2 linked regions of the Macaca fascicularis genome follow. The protein of the gene in region 2 interacts with the protein of the main gene of each other region in a pairwise test. Links are inferred from orthologs where the notes say so. Each region holds a gene or a part of one and is shown on either strand. Other genes may lie near its edges.

Evidence for each region.
Region 1: the proteins of TEAD4 (region 2) and WWTR1 interact in binary tests that used the Homo sapiens proteins (3 or more experiments, as listed by UniProt). The two-hybrid records come from large-scale screens. The link is inferred for Macaca fascicularis from reciprocal best matches to the Homo sapiens genes TEAD4 and WWTR1.

Annotation. Positions count from the first base shown.
Region 1 is NC_088376.1:52,343,856-52,347,506, reverse strand, and holds part of WWTR1 (WW domain-containing transcription regulator protein 1), read left to right. Parts: intron 1-2,891; coding exon 2,892-3,025; intron 3,026-3,651. UniProt on the Homo sapiens protein: Transcriptional coactivator which acts as a downstream regulatory target in the Hippo signaling pathway that plays a pivotal role in organ size control and tumor suppression by restricting proliferation and promoting apoptosis.
Region 2 is NC_088385.1:3,922,900-3,926,436, forward strand, and holds the end of TEAD4 (transcriptional enhancer factor TEF-3), read left to right. Parts: intron 1-106; coding exon 107-247; intron 248-2,472; coding exon 2,473-2,625; intron 2,626-2,722; coding exon 2,723-2,836; 3' UTR 2,837-3,028; downstream 3,029-3,537. UniProt on the Homo sapiens protein: Transcription factor which plays a key role in the Hippo signaling pathway, a pathway involved in organ size control and tumor suppression by restricting proliferation and promoting apoptosis.

The sequences.
Region 1 (3,651 bases), on a different chromosome or scaffold from region 2:
TTTCTATCTAATTTTTGATATTTGTTCTTATTTTATATATCATTACAGATAACAATTTGTACGTGTTATACATAATGTATTTTTTTTATCCCATGAAGTTCCAGAAATGATTCTCACTATATCTAAATTTAGAACTCCTGGTAATTGCAGATTCAACTTGTATTCTTTTTTTTTGAGACAGAGTCTCGCTGTGTCGCCCAGGCTGAAGCACAGTGGTACAATCTCAGCTCAATGCAACCTCTGCCTCCCGGGTTCAAGTGGTTCTCCTGCCTCAGCCTCCCAAGTAGCTGGGACCACAGGTGCATGCCACCACGCCCGGCTAACTTTTGTATTTTTAGTAGAGACGGGATTTCACCTTGTTAGCCAGGGTGGTCTCGATCTCCTGACCTCGTGATCCACCTGCTTCGGCCTCCCAAAGTGCTGGGATTACAGGCTTGAGCCACTGCCCAGCCTCAACTTTTATTCTTAGGACTTATGTTGATAAAGTTTTGTCAGATAGAAAGGAATGCAGCCATCTCATCAACTTTTATATTAAAAGTGTCTTTGTTTAGAGGTAAACTCCCACATTTATTCAGAATGATTGAAAAATGGAATATTCTAGTAAAGTTCGTGTTTTTGGATAATGAGGTTATGAGTCAAAAGATTCTTGCATTTATGGTTAATAAAGTACTAGAAATTTACCATTGACAAGGTACATTTTTTCAAACTGTGGCTCAGGGTATGTGAGTGTGCTTGAGGGATGGGGACTGGTGGGGTCCAGGCTTTTTATGCCAGATTCAATCCTTGTTGCTCCTTCTGAGGCTTTCAGGAAAACTTTGGTTGGATAATAAGGTTTCTAATGCACCCTGCCTGCCATGTTAAAAACAACTATCAGAAAGTCATTTGATTTTTCTAGGTTTATTCAGAAGGCACTTCCAAGATTTAGATGGTGAATGAAAATAACTTCTTACCAAAAAAAATCTCCATTTTTTGGTTTGCTTTTTATAGATTCCTGAATAAAATTTGTTAGTTAAGTATTCGATTATTTGCAATTTAGATGAACAGAAGTGAGCCAGAGACCCTTTCCAGCTAGAAAATTTATTTCAGTATAAGTTAACAATACAGTTGTTTTTTTTTTTAATCAATCAGTTCTCTCATGGTTTGTAACAGCACAACGAACTCTAGTAACTGAAAATTTTTATAGCCAATGACTTCACTAGGACTTGTCTAGACAGCAGTTACCCTCTAAAGTCACAGCATGTTAGGGCTGGAAGAGATCTAACAAAGATACTGTAATTTAGAAGTCCTAAATGTTCTGTTTGCCATTGTAGCCATGGTTTTACGGTTTGAGGGACAGTGAGACCAATGACTTCAGCATGGAAAGTGGGAAACTGATAGGCATAAATATGGGGAAAGGCCTAACCTTAGTTTGGGATGCAAATGTAAACATATAAAAGTATTCTCTGGAAACAGCAGCAAATTTGAAAGGAATTTGATGTCTGGTTATGTTTGTCAAAAAGGAGAGACTCCTGGAGATCATACCTAGAGAAAGTAATTGCAGTCAGTAGATTTCTAGCATTTTGGATGGACTCTCCTTGGCAATGTAATGCTAGCTTTTATAAAATAATGTTTATATTATTTGTTTTTGCTAATGAAATCCATATGCTGTGAAACAGTTACTTGTCTGTGGGATTTGGATTGGATCTACATGTTTCCCCAATCTTCAGCATTTTAGTCAACGAAGTAGTCAAATGGATTGACTTTTTTTTTTCCTTTTTTTTTCCTTTTTTTTGAGACAGCGTCTCACTCTGTCATCCAGGCTAGAGTGCAGTGGCGTGATCTCTGCTCACTTTAGTCTCAACCTCCCAGGCACGAGGCTCCTCCTACCTCAGGCTCCCAAGTAACACCAGTCCCAGCTAATTTTTGTGTTTTTTGTAGAGACAAGGTTTCACCATGTTGCCCAGGCTGGTCTCGAACTTGTGGGCTCCAGTGATCCGCCCACCTCGACCTCCCAAAGTGCTGGGATTATGGACGTGAGCCACCGCCCCTGGCCACTGATTGGCTTTTCAAAGTAAACTTTCAACTCATTGTTTTGCTTTCCTGTCTGTAAACATAAAACTTCCAGATGCAATTTAATGTAGAGCCTGTACTCTGTAATTCCACAGTTTTACTGGCCTGTAAGTGGCAAAGACCAGAATGTACCTTATAGTCCAGAGGAATCTGATTGCTTTGATTGATGTAGATTTGGTTTGAGAACCTCAGATAGAAATAGCCTTGTCTCTGAGAAGTGTTTTGAGAGGACTTTCTATGATTTGGGTGTTTAAATAATTGCATGGGTGGGATGATTGCAACAGTTAAGTGCCCTTAGGTCAAATAATAGCTGAGCTTCCCATTAACTTTGTGAATGTGAAGTGACTTATGTCTGTAAGACTTTCTTCAGAGAAAGAATACCAGTGGTTACCTGGTGATTTTGACTTGCTGGGAGTAAATACACAGTGCTTTGTATTTGGTGAAAAGTTTTTGTTTTTTTTGAGACGGAATCTCGCTCTGTCACCCAGGCTGGAGCGCAATGGTGTGATCTCGGCTCATTGCAAGTTCCGCCTCCCAGGTTCACGCCATTCTCCTGCCTCAGCCTCCCGAGTAGTTGGGACTACAGGCGCCCGCCACCTCGCCCGGCTAGTTTTTTGTATTTTTTTAGTAGAGACGGGATTTCACCGTGTTGGCCAGGATGGTCTCGATCTCCCGACCTCGTGATCTGCCCGTCTCGGCCTCCCAAAGTGCTAGGATTACAGGCTTGAGCCACTGCGCCCGGCCTGGTGAAAAGTTTTGATGTGACATACACTCTGCTCCATGCCTTGTGACAATGAGTGAATGACTCTTGCTTCCCACTCTGACTGTTGTTACTTCTGTAGGAAGCTGCCCTCTGTCGACAGCTCCCCATGGAAGCTGAGACTCTTGCTCCAGTTCAGGCTGCTGTCAACCCACCCACGATGACCCCAGACATGAGATCCATCACTAATAATAGCTCAGATCCTTTCCTCAATGGGTAAGTTAATATTTGGGGGCCACTTATTTTTGTTCTCTTTATTATGTGATCTAGACTATGATATGATCTTTGTTTACATTGGGAAGAGGTGGAGAACTTGAGGGTTGAGGGTGAGGATAAAGGGAGGAAGTGGGAGGAGCTGGCAGAAAATAGAAAGGCAGGGGAAGTCATCTACCTTTTAAAAAAATTTCCAAATTAAAAAATTAGTGATAGGACATAGAGTAAACCCCTAGTCAAGAATTTGAAAATGGGCATGAATTTATATATTTTTTAAACATGATAGTGTTGTTTAGTACTTATACTTGGAAGAATCTTGTGGTTTTATGTAACCAACAGGGGATAAAAGCATGCCATATGGCAAGTTGAGAACAGAACAATTAAGAAATGATGTTCAGCCAGGCGTGGTGGCTTATGCCTGTAATCCCAGCACTTTGGGAGGCCGAGGCAGGCGGATCACCTGAGGTCGGGTGTTCGAGACCAGTCTGACCAACATGGAGAAACCCCGTCTCTATTGAAAATACAAAATTAGCAGGGCGTGGTGGTGCATGCCTGCAATCCCAGCTACTCAGGAGGCTGAGGCAGGAGAATTGCTTGAACCCAGGAGGCGGAGGTTGCGGTGAGCCGAG
Region 2 (3,537 bases):
TCTTCCCAGCCCTAGAGCCGGGACCGGGACCCTGAGGTCTCCCTGATGCTCCCGTCTGACACGGCACCTGCTGACCCTCCCTCGGCTTCCCCCTGTCTCCCTCCAGGCAGACCTCAACACCAACATCGAGGATGAAGGCAGCTCCTTCTATGGGGTCTCCAGCCAGTATGAGAGCCCCGAGAACATGATTATCACCTGCTCCACCAAGGTCTGCTCTTTCGGCAAGCAGGTGGTGGAGAAAGTTGAGGTAGGAGGCCACCCTGGTGGGTGAGGGGCGCTCCCCAGAGCCATTGCTCCCCGTTCAGGATCTTCCAAGCACGTCCTTACAGGCGCCCCCGGTCCTCTCCAAGATCAGAGCCGCAGCACAGGCAGGGCCCAGGGGCATCTACCTAGTCCAGCCCTCTGGCTTCACAGTAGAGGCCCAGAGAGAGCAGAGGCCTCCCCCGACCGCCCGCACGTGGTCACACCGCTCACTAATGCAGAAGCAGGCCTGGGTGCCTAGGATCTCCATCCGCTGCTCACTTTGCTCCATGAATGCCTAAAACTCCCTGATTTTCTACTTGTGGGTGACCTGAAGACCCCGCTCTAGTGGACGTTACAGAAAAGTCAGGCCTGCCTTTTAGGCGGTGGTTTCTCCCACTCGGCTAAACCCCCGGCCAAGGGCAGTGCAGGACAGTGGTGAGGAGCACACATTCAGGGGGATCCCCACCCAGCCACCCTGCTTTCCGGTGGGTGTTTGGGGGGTTGTGATAAAATCCTCCGTTTATCTCTAAACAAGGGCCAAGTTGTCTTCACTGTCCGTGACACAGTCTCCTGCAGCACCCTGTGTTCTGGGCCCGCTGCACAGTGGCAGTGACAAGGAGCTGGGACTGAAGGCCTCCGACCCGAAACACCTGTGCACTCTGAGAGTCCAGGACCCTGTGCCGCCCACACACTTGTTAAACCAGACCCCCTCGCCATGCAGGCCGGTCTGCGTCCCTCTCCTCACCCTGTCCCCAGCTTGGTCTGAATTCATGAAGTCCTAGTCTCACAGCCTATCAGTTATTGATAACCTTCCTCATGCCAAATGCAGCCAGATGCCAGGCCAGCATCAGGGAAGAGAGATTCCTTCCCCCAGTGCTTCTCCACCTGGCTGCACCCTACAGTCTCCTGGGAGCTTTGGAAACACACCAGTGCCTGAAACCCGTTCAGCACCCCTCAATCTCTAGGGTAGAGTCCAGGCATTATTGGTTTTTAAAAAGTGCCTCCGGCCGGGCGCGGTGGCTCAAGCCTGTAATCCCAGCACTTTGGGAGGCCGAGACGGGCGGATCACAAGGTCAGGAGATCGAGACCATCCTGGCTAACATGGTGAAACCCCGTCTCTACTAAAAATACAAAAAACTAGCCGGGCGAGGTGGCGGGCGCCTGTAGTCCCAGCTACTCCGGAGGCTGAGGCAGGAGAATGGCGTGAACCCGGGAGGCGGAGCTTGCAGAGAGCTGAGATCCGGCCATTGCACTCCAGCCTGGGCGACAGAGCTAGACTCCGTCTCAAAAAAAAAAAAAAAAAAAAAAAAAAGTGCCTCCAATTATTTATTTCTAATTTATTTTGTAAAACTTTTGAGATAATTGTGGATCCACTTGGGATCATAATCCCATGTGCCCTTTACCCAGTTCTTGCCCTGGCAATGTCTTGTATAACTAAAGTATAAAGGGGACACCCAGGAAATTGACATTGATGCAGTCCACCAAGCTGGTTCAGATCTCACCAGCTTTATACGCGCTCCTTTGTGCACGTGCATGGGTGCGTGTAGATATGGAGACTTGCATGATCACCACCAGACTCCCGGGGGTCCCTGTGTATCCCCCGTGGTGTCCTCACGTACAGCCAGGATTGAGAGGCTCCTTCCCACTGCTCCTGTGTCTCCTTAAGCTCCCCTCCTGCCATCCCCGGTTCCTGCTGGTCACCCGTGGAGGAAGGAGGTCTTGTTTAATGTCCACCAACCTAACAGGGTGACTTTTTGTGTGTGTGTGTGAGACAGTCTTACTCTGTCGCCCTGGCTGGAATGCAGTGGTATGATCTCAGCTCACTGCCACCTCCGCCTCCCAGGTTCAAGCGATTCTCCTGCCTCAGCCTCCAGAGTAGCTGGGATTACCGGCGCGTGCCACCGTGCCTGGCTAATTTTTGTATTTTAATAGTAACAGGGTTTCACCATGTTGGCCAGGCTGGTCTTGAACTCCTGACCTCAGGTGATCCGCCTGTCTTGGCCTCCCAAAGTGTTGGGATTGCAGGCGTGAGCCACGGCCCCTGGCTGGGGGTGACTCTTTTCTTAAGGGCCCCTAGGCCTCCTGCCTTTCCTTCCCATGGAGTTGGGTCTGGGTCCTGGGGCTTCCCATGGAGTTGAGTCTGGGTCCTGGGGCTTCCCATGGAGTTGGGTCTGGGCCGAAGGTGGTCAGAATGGGATTCTAAGCCCCTGCTGTCCCCGGGCCCTGCAGACAGAGTATGCTCGCTATGAGAATGGACACTATTCTTACCGCATCCACCGCTCCCCGCTCTGTGAGTACATGATCAACTTCATCCACAAGCTGAAGCATCTCCCCGAGAAGTACATGATGAACAGCGTGCTGGAGAACTTCACCATCCTGCAGGTGTGCCGCGGGTGTGGCTGGAGTCTGTGTGTGGGTAGCAGCGAGGGCGTGCCCTCGTCTGGGGCCTTATTCACCCTTGTCTTTTTCTCTCCCACAGGTGGTCACCAACAGAGACACACAGGAGACCTTGCTGTGCATCGCCTATGTCTTCGAGGTGTCAGCCAGTGAGCATGGGGCTCAGCACCATATCTACAGGCTGGTGAAAGAATGAGAGACTCGGGGAGCAGGGAGGGGGGAAGAGACGTGTGTGCAGGAAACGGGGACGTGGGGAGGGGACCTGCAGGGGCAGCCCCTGAAGTGCCGAGAGAGCTGAGAGGAGCAGTTGTGACTCTACCCAGGAACAAACTGTGCCTGAACCTGCAGTGCCCAACCCCAAATAAACCCAAGATGCTGTGTCTTTTCAGAGGACCTGGTCTGGCTGTGTGAGCCTCGGGAGGGACTGGGGGAGCAATGGGGCCATCTGGGAGGCAGGCCGGAAGCAGTGCTCAGAGACGCACCCCGGGCATTTCTGAAGCCAGCATCCCAATGGACTCAGCCAGGAACATCACCAGACCCTGGAACCGAAGATGTGACGGTCCCCGTGCTGCCTCTCAAGCCCCTGCACTGTGGCGGTGGCCACGCCGGGAGGTCCGAGGAATGCATGGGCTATGCACCCGCAGCCATGTGCACCCCTGCTGCACTCGCAGGACGGTTCACACAGAGAGGCCCCGTCCCCGGGGGGGCGGGTTTTAGGTGTGGAGGTGACAGTTGTTGGACGGGGACACCGTCAGAACTCTCTGGATAGTTTCCGTCCATCTCAGTGGATGCGGATGCCATGACTATCTTCCATGACCACGCTGGGGGCGCTGGTTTCAGATCGAAGGAGACTGAGGTGGGGAGGGCAGGAGGCTGGGAGGGCAGGAGGCAGCGGGG